Linked DNA regions of Saccharomyces cerevisiae S288C. The protein of the gene in region 2 interacts with the protein of the main gene of each other region in a biochemical or structural test. Each region holds a gene or a part of one and is shown on either strand. Other genes may lie near its edges.

What was found. Proteins that work in one complex are often made in the same cells at the same time.
Region 1: of the proteins of HRR25 (region 2) and CRZ1, one has a biochemical effect on the other in vitro, tested with the Saccharomyces cerevisiae proteins (3 studies listed by BioGRID, with this or other methods).
Region 3: of the proteins of HRR25 (region 2) and ATG36, one has a biochemical effect on the other in vitro, tested with the Saccharomyces cerevisiae proteins (3 studies listed by BioGRID).

What each region holds. Positions count from the first base shown.
Region 1 is NC_001146.8:577,715-582,116, reverse strand, and holds CRZ1 (DNA-binding transcription factor CRZ1), read right to left. Parts: upstream 2,538-4,402; coding exon 501-2,537; downstream 1-500. Other genes in the region: SAM complex subunit SAM50, read right to left, coding at 1-197; KTR5 (putative mannosyltransferase), read left to right, coding at 3,344-4,402. UniProt on the Saccharomyces cerevisiae protein: Involved in the regulation of calcium ion homeostasis. Binds to the calcineurin-dependent response element. Transcriptionally regulates PMC1, PMR1, PMR2A and FKS2.
Region 2 is NC_001148.4:162,283-166,260, reverse strand, and holds HRR25 (serine/threonine protein kinase HRR25), read right to left. Parts: upstream 1,986-3,978; coding exon 501-1,985; downstream 1-500. Other genes in the region: cAMP-dependent protein kinase catalytic subunit TPK2, read right to left, coding at 1-5; PGC1 (phosphatidylglycerol phospholipase), read left to right, coding at 2,664-3,629; TYW1 (putative tRNA 4-demethylwyosine synthase), read right to left, coding at 3,920-3,978. UniProt on the Saccharomyces cerevisiae protein: Protein kinase which phosphorylates serine and threonine residues. Can use casein as a substrate. Phosphorylates elongator complex member ELP1/IKI3 on 'Ser-1198' and 'Ser-1202' which promotes the tRNA modification function of the complex.
Region 3 is NC_001142.9:81,595-84,629, forward strand, and holds ATG36 (Atg36p), read right to left. Parts: upstream 1,383-3,035; coding exon 501-1,382; downstream 1-500. Other genes in the region: alpha-1,2-mannosyltransferase MNN5, read left to right, coding at 1-321; chromatin DNA-binding EKC/KEOPS complex subunit GON7, read left to right, coding at 1,854-2,225; MNN11 (alpha-1,6-mannosyltransferase), read left to right, coding at 2,474-3,035. UniProt on the Saccharomyces cerevisiae protein: Required for autophagic breakdown of peroxisomes, called pexophagy, through linking peroxisomes to the autophagy apparatus. Involved in regulation of the glyoxylate cycle.

The sequences.
Region 1 (4,402 bases), on a different chromosome or scaffold from region 2:
TTCACTAGCTGCCCCAAAGTAATGGATTTCATAATAGTATCATCTAAGTATGCCTGTAGTACGCTAGGGTCGATATGATCTGTCCCTGTTGTTACTACACCCGCAACCCTAATTGGCTTTAAAGTAGAACTCTCATTGAAAATTGGCATCGGGCTGTCTAAGGAAATCTCATTATCAACACCAGATGATGAGGTCATGTTGAATTGAGCTACTTTTGTCTATTTGGCATCAAAACTTTTGCCACGTAAAACGCATCCTCATACAATAACTTTTTGTTACTTGCCATTATTTTCGGCAGCTTAGAAAATTCAGACGGGCGTAAAAACTATTAATCCGTAAGAATATCACTGTTTTATACTATTTCATTACAAAAACAATAACCAAATAATACCTTTGCATGGATTAGATTAGCCATAATTTCTACACTGTCATTATGAAATTACATATTTATTATATAGAAAAAAAAAATTCCTATTCAAAGCTTAAAAAAACAAAAATAATTAACTCTCTTGTCCCGATTTCTCCTGTCTGGCTTCTTCGTACAAGGGAGTGATGCATCTTCTACCACTTTCAGTTTTAAAATGCCTACCAAGAGCATCACTTCTTGCAAACTTTTTGCCACAACCCCAGGGTTTACCGTCCTTCAGCTTACCACCGCATACATACCTTTTCTTACCTGTATGCAAATCTTCGTGTCTCTTTCTATCATGTTGACGTGCAAACGCCTTACCACAAATAGAACAAATAAATGGCCTTTCATTTGTATGCGTTCTTAAGTGTGACTTTAAGTTATAAGGTCTTGTAAACTTCTTACCACATACATCACAAGCAAAATTCGCAGGATTTTTCCTATTATTTGTTACACTGTCTAGTTTTTCTAGATTGTCATTTTTCTTAACAGAAAATGTGCCATTATCGTTATTTTCGTGATTATCATCATTTTTGAAACCAACTTTCTGCTCAAATTGGCCCAAGCTATCTATGTCTAGAAGTATGCCAAGATCTTTGCTAGTGTCATCTAGTTCATTTTTAATATTGACAATGCCCGATTCAATTTTTGGTTTACTTGTTAACAAATTGTTATTATTATTATCCTCATTAAAATTGCTACTGTTAATGGTGTTATAGCTAGTTTTGCTATCATTGTCATAGCGCTCCCGATTATTGTCATTTTCACTGGATGGTAAAAGATCTGCCATCTCCAATAACTTTTCCCTATTTGCACTTATAGATTTAGCTTTTTCATCGGGAGATATGCTTCTTGATCTCGAGGATCTCCTGCTAGTGAAACTATTATTGGAAGTTTGAGAAGATCTTCTTCTTGATTTTTTAAGTTTCAATTTTCGACCGTTAATGATATCTTCGAAGGAGCGGTCAATATCACTGAGAGCTTCGTTGTTGTAATCATTATCATCTGGACGAAGTAGATTGTTATTGTTAGTAGCGCTATAACTTTCGTTATCCCGAACTTTTAGTTGTAACGTTCCGTCATCTTCGTTTTTAACTGGGAAGTGTCCCTCATTGAATTCCTGTATAGAAATGATGGGTGTTACCGGGGCAGCATGAGTGGAAGGAGAAGGTGTGGAAGAAGTTGGAATAGTCAATAACATCTTTTGGTTAGTACCGACTTTACTTTTATTAATGGCAATGGTACTGTTTTGAGTGTCAGCGGTATTAATAATTCCGTTATTACTGTTGTTGAAATCACTGTTGTTTGATGCTGATAAAAGGTTATTGTCTGAATATGTTAAAGATAGCAAGTCATCCAACTCATCAAGGTTTGAAATATGTTTATAACCATGTGAATTTACGGGCAGTAAATAATTTGAGTTCATAGATGCGACGCTCAAAAGATCGTCAAAATCATCGTTATTCGCGGTTAAGTGAGACATCGCAGGTGAAGAAACTAAGTCCTGTGGATACAAATAAGGCGTATGATAGTTTGATTCTGTATCGCTATAATTGGAGTCAATGCCCGAGCTCCTAGTGGTACCATCGTAATTAGATCTTGGAGATAAAAACTGGTTTGTGAGGGATGGCCGATGTTGATTATCAGCAGGTGTTAAGATATCGTCCCACTGAAATGTATCAGATTGTTCGACTTTTAAAGTTGGTGTTTGCTTCTGCTGTTGCTGTTGTTGTTGCTGTTGCTGTTGCTGTTGCTGTTGTAACTGTTGCTGTTGTAACTGTTGCTGTGGAAGATCTGGTTTGTATAGACTTTGGTAATTCAAATCTGCAGAATAAGAACCGCTTGACGGAGACAGCAAGCTGTTCACGTTAGAATCAAATGAGTCCGGGATGCCAGAGGAAAGGTTCTTTGATATTTTCTCCGATGAATTGGCGGAATCCATCCTCATATCCACATCTAAGTCCAAGTCCGATAATTGGAACGTATGTGATCCTGAATTGCTACTATTCCTGAAATTATTACGTCTGTAAGCGCTGTTATCGTCTATATCGTTTTTGTTGTTTATACTTTGCTCCTCTCCATTACTACTAGTCATGTAGGAAGCCATATTTCCGTTGCTGAATGACATCTTCCTTGTACTGTCTGACGAAACTTCCAATCGAGACTAAAAATACAACCTAGTTTTACTCGCGTTCAGAGTGTATAATCGTACTAAACTGCTGTGATGGCTATTGCCTGCTCTTTTGATTGTACTTTATCTAGCACTTCACAAGGTTTATAAACTCAATATCGGACTAATATGATAAAAAAAATTCAGGTGGGAAAAGTGAGAGGGTAGGCAAGAAGGTCGAAAGGAAAACAAAAAAACGTATCGCTGATATATAGCTCGCTCATGCAAGGCACAAATACAGGGGTAGGGTCCTCGACGTAGTAGACATTCTGCTTCTATAGATATTAATTAGTATAATGTTATTCAAGATAGCTTAGCAATTGTTAAATGCGCGGATGTACTTTTCAGCCCCCAACAGAGGGGCGAAGTTGCAACTAAGCTAAAGTGCAGTCAAAGCTGGAGCTCAACTGCTAACATAATAAGATGTGACTATAGTGCGCCTGGCAAGTTGCATGTTGCACTATATTACGACCAGTAATTTCCCTTGCCGAGCATATATGCCAATTGCCATTACGTGGGATATGGAAGAGGTGGGGTGCTTTTAGGTATTTGCTTTTTCTCTCATTTTTTGGATAGTACACTTTAAGCATGCGGTGTGTGGATGATGCCAAGAAAATTGAAAAATTTGGGCAGGCATTCGAGAAAGGGTCTTCAAAAAAATGCGAAGTAGTAGATATGAGTGCTTCCGTGCACAAATAGTCTTGTTCAATGGAGGTGTCATCAATAAATGTGTCTCAATACGGCACATCGTCATAAGGTAGCAGATGTTGCTAATAAGAAGGACGATAAATGCATTTCTGGGATGTATCCATTGCAATCTTACGGCGACGTGCATCCTGATTGCCTTCGTCATAACCATGTATGTGGTACTTGTATCTGAGCCTGCATCCGTAGACGGAACTATGGGAAATTTTCTTCCGTTTTCCAAGATGGATCTTGCGACGAAGAGGGACAGACCCTTTTATTCGAATTGTGTGAATACTCAGGACTATTTGTTGAATCCATCGTACATCAAGCAGAATGCCTCGTTTGTCATGCTAACAAGGAACGGGGAGCTAGAAGATGTTATCAAGACTATCAACAGTATAGAAGAGCATTTCAATCAGTGGTTCCACTATCCATATGTGTTCTTAAATGACCAGCCGTTTGAAGAGGACTTCAAAGCAAAAGTACGTGATGTTACAGTGGGCGCGCTGGTGGAATTTGGCACTATCGATGAGATATCTTGGAATTTTCCCAGTGACGTAAAGGATACGTTCGAGTTCTACAACGCAATTGAGGATCAAGGTGATAGAAGCATACTTTACGGAAACTTAGAATCATATCATAAGATGTGCCGGTTTTATTCAGGATTATTTTACAAGCACCCGCTAGTACAGAAGTACGAATGGTATTGGAGATTGGAACCCGATGTTGAGTTTTTCTGTGATATTACCTACGATCCCTTTTTGGAGATGCTCCGAACTAATAAGAAATATGGATTTACGATCATCATCCCCGAATTGTATTGGACAGTCCCAAATTTGTTTAGACACACTAAAAGCTTTATCAGTCAAAAAGGCGTTACGCTTGGGTCATTATGGAAACTATTTACAAAGGATTACGACATTTTTGAATCCGATGATCCGGAGTTACGGGACTGGATCAACTATGATTTTCAGGCCAAGGCTAAGATATCCGAAAAGATAGCCATCGAGCAGCTTTTGAAAAAGGGTGATGATTTCCAACAGATAAATGATGACAAAGAGGGAATAATGAATTTGATACATAAGGCTCGCTCTAGGAAGCATATCGTAGAAGACAAATTTTTCAATGAAGAGTAC
Region 2 (3,978 bases):
TCCATACCGACAATTTTCAACAGTATGTGAGTTAACCTGAGTGAAGCTGCTGTTTGTGCCGGCTGTATATTTGCACAAACTTCCTTGGTATTCCGTCGTTATCGTCTCGTGATTGTTTCCTAATCAGACACTATAAGGCAAGTTAATTATCGAAAATACGAATTGATGCTGTCTTCTCAGAGGCCCTCCTTTAAAACCGTCCAATATTCGTGATTGATCTTCGATCGTTAGCCCTTTATTACATAAAAAAAAAACAAATTGGCCAAGAGGTGCTCCGCTCCCCCTTAATTTCCTTCCCGAAGAAAAAAATGCATAAAAAAAGTGGTTCTTTTAGCTATCATCTTTTTAGGTAAGAAGGCCAGAATTGTATATATTAACTCGATATGGAATTGTGTGTACGTATATGTAAATAATAATAATAATATATATATATATATGTGTGTGTGTATGTCTATATATACATATGTTTATTTTTGTGCGTTTTGAGCAATATATGTTGCTTACAACCAAATTGACTGGCCAGCTGGTTTATCTTGAGGCGGCTGTTGTGGATTAGATCTCATTTGTGGAGGTACAGATGCTTGATTAGTATTAAAATTATTGCTGTTTATTTGTGGGGGATACTGAGTAGCCCTGGTTGTAGCCATCGGAACTTGCTGCTGTTGCTCCTGAGAATCTCTTTGTTGCTGCTGTAGTAACGGTTCAGGATAATAATTTGGTCTTTGGCCATTTGGTTGCTGCTGTAGCTGTTGGGGCTGTGGTTGTGGCTGCGAACTTTGGACCTGCTGCTGCGGCTGCTGTTGTCTCAAGTTTTCCATACCTTTATCTAGTGCGTTCAATAATTCCTCTGGTAAAGAAGAGGCTGCATTATTATTCAAGATAGTTTGTTGTTTGATCTCTTCTGGTGAAGGATTATGTTTGTCTTCATTCTTGTAATAGTGGAAATGGGTGGGGAATTTCTTCATGGCTAACAGTTTAATCTTGTTGAAAGTTTCAGACTTGTTGTCTGTGCTGTTACTTGCACTTGCTGCATTGCTATTTGCGTTCAAATCACCTTTTTCGATGAGGAGGTCCCTTTGCTTCTCCACCATCGCCTTTGTGTAACGCAACATTGTCCAATCGAACAAGTGGTCGTTGTGATACTCTAGTTTAATACTCAGATCTTTAAACAGCCTTGCCAAGAACAAATAATCTGGCTTCTCATCGAATTTCAAATTCTTACAGTAAGCCATATATTCTTGAAACTCTAATGGTAAACCTGAACATAGAGTTTCCACGCTAACGTTTAATTTCTTTTCCATGATACGATCATACTTTTGTTTCTTGGTGGTTGCTTTCAAACCCTGCCATGGCAAAGAACCCTTACAAAAATAGATCAAGACATAACCTAGTGATTCTAAGTCATCTCTTCTACTTTGCTCTATTCCAAGATGCGTATTGACACTTGCATAACGAGCTGTACCTGTCAAGGACTTGTTCTCCCTGTAAGGAATATGACGATGTGTGTTGAAATCTCGGTATTTCTTTGATAGACCGAAATCAATAACATGAACGGTGCTACCACGGCGTCCTACCCCCATTAAAAAGTTGTCTGGTTTGATATCTCTATGAATGAACGACCTTCCATGTATATACTGAATACGGCAAAACATTTGCAAAGCCAGCATGATAACCGTCTTAAAGGAGAACCTTCTGTGACAGTAGTTGAATAAATCTTCCAAAGATGGGCCTAGAAGATCGATGACCATAGCATTATATTCACCCTCTCTGCCAAACCATCTGATGAACGGGATTCCCACACCACCGCTTAAGTATCTGTAGACGCGGGACTCATAGTCCAATTGAGGATGTCTGGACCTGATCGATTCCAGCTTGATGGCTACTTCTTCACCACTAATTAAGTTCGTGCCGTGGTAAATGTCACCAAAGGAACCACTCCCAATCTTCCTGCCAATACGAAATTTCCTTCCTACTCTTAAGTCCATCTCTTTTTAATGTATCCTTTCTATAAATATATCTTTTCTTTTTGGTTTTTTTTTTTGGTCGAATATGTCGTAACTTTTCGACTTTTTTTATCCTTGAAGTCTGGAAATATTTTTCTAAGTACCCAACAGAGGTTTAAAGATGCTACTAAGATGTGTTTTCACCACCAAATGCTTTCCTCGAGTGTCGAACCTTTCTTCTCTTTGTATTTCAACCACGTTCCATATATGTGGTCGTGTTTCAACTTTTTTTCTTCGTCTCCTTTTCCTCGTTGCACCAAAAATTCTCCAGAAAAAAAGAAATTCAAACGTGGGCTGCCTATTAGTAGTAAATACACAGACGGGAAGAAGCGTTGAAACAAAGCGAGAGTTGCAGTAACTCTTCACAGTGGTATATGATTGCCACGAAATAATCGTCGATCCAGTGGTAGTTATTCGTATATAGGAGCCTTTTATAGCAATTAGATGGTATCCATTTTGTGGTACTGTTGCGGGTAATCTGCATCACGTGACTATAACCTCTTTTAATTATATCTCTTTATACGCATGCCGTATCGAGGACAATACCGAATTGGTTTAGATCTTTTAGTATACAATTAAGGGAGATATAAAATTGGTGTTGTTGATGTTACTAGTGTTATTGATAAATAAGAAGTGTAAGATAACAACAAGGACACGAGGATGGTTGAAATTGTGGGCCACAGAGCTTTTAAAGCAAGATATCCTGAAAATACGCTACTAGCATTTGAGAAGGCTTATGCAGCAGGTGCTGATGTAATAGAAACGGATTTACAAATGACCAGCGATGGTATGGTGGTGGTAAACCATGACTCAGACACTGGTCGGATGTGGGATAAGAACTTGGTGATTGGCGAGTCGACTTGGGAGGAGGTTAAGCGATTGCGCTGCAAAGAGGATGGTTCCTTAGCAATGATGACATTGAAGGAAATTCTAACATGGGCAGTGTGCCATCCAGGAGCTAAATTGATGTTGGACATCAAATTTACCAACGAGAAAATCATCATGATCAAGACCTTTGTTATCATGTTAGAGGTTAAGAATGATCTTAAATTTTGGCAGGAGAGGATCACGTGGGGGCTTTGGTTGCTGGATTGGTACGATTTCGGTATTGAAACTGGTGTTCTGAAGGATTTCAAAGTTATTGTGATAAGTCTGTCTTTAGATATCGCCTCGCAATTTGTGAAGCGCTCTTTGACACTGAATGATCCTCACTATAAACTTTTTGGTATCAGCGTCCATTTTGTCTCCTCGTGGACAAGCCAATTTAGATTGAGATTACTACCTGTGCTTATGAAGAATGATATCAAGGTCTATTTATGGACTGTCAACAAACCTATAGATTTCAAATATCTGTGCGAATTGCCTATCCATGGTGCTATCACGGATGATCCGATCAAGGCAAGAAAGTTATGCGATGGTCATACCGTGGCGAAGAAGCCTACTGCTGAAAAAAAGTTTGTTGCGCCCAGTCTGGCATCTGTAGATGGGCTAAGATTCCATGCTTTTATCAAAGTTTATAACATCCTTTGCACGCTTCTATATTCCAAATGGGTCCATATTAAGTTGTGCGGTTGGTCTATTGCTTATGTGATTTTTTTGTTCCTTCGAACCATTCATTTTCTTTGATATCCATTCATTGACGTGAATATTATTCTGAACACTTTCTCTTTTACTTCTATATATATTTATGTTCGTATCAAAATCATGATATTATAAAACAAAATTTTCGAACCCTTTCTCTCCGCGAGATTTGAATAGTGATATTTTGGACTAAATCATAAAAAAAGAAAGAAACGATAATGTTAATAGCCATTCATACTAATTGAACACTTGAATTGTTCTGCTCTTTATTTCGAATAAATATATATATATATATATATATACGTGATATTACTCTTAATATATACCAGTATCTTTTAAGCAGGAATAGGAGGGAGAGGCGTCTCTCTCGTTGTAGTTTCTTGATTTTCCTTAT
Region 3 (3,035 bases), on a different chromosome or scaffold from region 2:
TTGGATATCATGTTCATTCATGCCAGTTTCTACAAGGCAGATCCATGGACTCTTTATCATGAAAACAGATTTATCGGTCCAAATGGCGAACAAGTACGGGGCTTCAGGAAGCCGCATCGCTATGGAATGGATTTTGAATTGTTTTTATTCAATGATATGAGGGGGTCCTTCTGTACCACTCCGAAAAGCCAAGTTATTAAATTCAAGTATTTTACCGATAAAGTTAATACCCCAGAATGGGATGCAATGTGTGAGTATTTGACCAATCATGTTAATTATCTGGAGAGCACACACAAAGAAGCTATGGGGGAGAAAAACTAATGAAGTGATTAACTATAATAATTTAATAATAACTCGCCATCCGACCTTGTATAATATAATGTAGCATATATGTGCACGGATATATATACATCTTAGAAAAAAATGAAAAAATGAAACCAAGAAAAAACTAACTGATGGTGTTCGGACAACGTTTTAGAATGAGGGTATCTAACTTTCTTCTACCATTCTCTGTCCAAAAACCTAGAAAGTAAAGTCCAGCCAAACCAAGATGTGTTTTCCAACGACGAAGACGCTGCGCTTGGTGAACGGTTTAATGTTTCTCCAGTGCTCTCATCTGTAAATCGTGACCGCGATGACGAATCTATATCTACGTCTGACAACCTGTCGAATTCAAGAGGCATCGAGTAGTAATTGAAAATAAAGTCACGCTGGGGGAAAAAAGATGGTATATCGTCAAATATTCTTTCATGATGGTATGTCAATAATTGCCGGCGAGTTTTCTCGCGGTAGCATGTTCTTAGAATTGGATACAAGTCTCTTGATAGTTTCTGCACAGCAATTCTTTGGGCATTTGTAAGTTTCTTTAATTTCGCAGAGGTATAAAGTTCTCTTTCCTTAAAGGAATAAACGGGAAATCCATGATTGACACCGTCGCTTGATTGAGGGACATTTTGATGCAGCTCATTAAATAAATGGCTGCCCAAACACCACTCATCGATCCGGTCAGAGTTACTAGACGATCGAATGTTACGAAGAGCGGGCGCCGGCTGCTCTGAGGGCGGAGAATTTTTATTGCTGTCACTGGATATCGACAGTATAGCAATTTCGTCAGAAGGAACTTCGAAGGCACTACTTGCAGATTCCAGTGTCTCATCGCGACTAATGGCAGTATTTGTACATTCTGGAGATAAATCTGGGTTATTGATAACCCTTACATCATTGAATGACTTTAATCTATGGAAGTCTAGCTCAAATTCCTCTTCTGAGAGTTCCAGGACTTCAAATAGCGATTCTTCATCGTGAATGCCGTTATTAATTCTGGGTTGAATGCGAGCAGACCTTGACCCGCAATCAACCTGGTAATTGTTCACAGATGCCATTAATGAGCTGTACTGACCACCAAATTTTAGTATTTTAAGCCCTGAATACAACCTTTGCTCCTTGTCGACATTCGTAAGTATATAGAAATCTATCCCTTCAAAAGATTTGTATTATTCGGGATTACGCTACAGCCGCACGTAGATCGTACGTGTATAACGATGTTTATCTTGGTGAAAGTATCTTAACGCGAATGCTCTAGTGATGGCACAATAGAATAGTGTCTTAGCACCACAGAGCGTGATTTTTTAAAGCTCTATATTAGCAACTACGATAGGTGTTTATTTAGTTTCTTTGTTGATCTTCCTGTTTCCAGTGTTACGGCCTTGTCAGGTCAAAAATTTTACCCGGATCTCTAGTAATGAGTAACTTAAGAATATCCCATCTGATTATTGGTAGTTTTACTGAACCAAGTTAGAGCTAAATAAATATATACAGCCGATAGTGCACTGGAACCTTATCCTAATATCTCAATGAAACTACCGGTAGCACAGTACAGTGCACCAGATGGTGTGGAAAAAAGTTTTGCACCAATACGCGATGACCCTCGATACATGACCACAGAGGGAAGGACAACTGGGCCCAGTGACCATGTGCTAAACGCTGGCCAAATCGATAGAGACAAACCTTCAGAACCGGAACGCACGAAAGATGGCTCACAACTGACATACTTAGGCCAGCTGCGCACGCAGCTGACGGGGCTACAGGACGATATTAACGAGTTTTTGACAGGAAGAATGGAATTGGCAAAAAATAAGAAGAAAGCCGGCGCAGACGAGAAGCGGATCCAGGAAGAGATTAACCAGCTATTAGATGGTGGTGACGGTGACGAAGATGCTGTTTAGGCAACGATATGTAGCGCTAGAGAGTGTATATACAAACAGAAAAGAGTCTAATGATAAATGACAAATATTTCGTTACAAGTGATAATTGTTGAACTAGGAAGAGTTGATATAAAAAAATAATAAACACACGATGGGATACAGTTAAGAAGGATTGATCGACTCCTAAATGATGCGAAGAAAGCCAATTTTCAACTTGGAATCATCCTGCCGGTTTGTTGTTGGTGTTAGCTGTGTTAGGACTCGTTAAAATGGCAATCAAACCAAGAACGAAGGGCAAAACGTACTCCTCAAGATCGGTGGGTTCGCAGTGGTTCAACAGGCTTGGTTTCAAGCAGAACAAGTACGGAACTTGTAAATTTTTGTCGATAATAACGGCCTTTGTTTTTATCCTCTATTTCTTCTCCAATCGCTTCTATCCAATTTCTCGTTCCGCCGGTGCATCATATTCTCCATCCCATGGGCTGTATATTAACGAAATTCCTGCCTCCAGCCGGTTGATTTATCCACATGTAGAACATGTGCCTGTGTTAAAACAAATGACCGTTAGGGGCCTGTATATTACGAGGCTAGAAGTGGATGGCAGTAAAAGATTAATTTTGAAACCAGAAGAGAATGCTTTGACAGATGAAGAAAAAAAGAAGACTACTGATCAAATTCTATTAGTGAAGCACTCGTTCTTAGACCATGGTAAATTAGTGTATCGGAAGAGCAATGATGCACCTGAAGTGGTCGTAGTAACCCTGATAGATTTTGAAAACTACGAATTAGAAACAATTATTCAAATTGTTCAAAATAGGGTTGATTACGCTC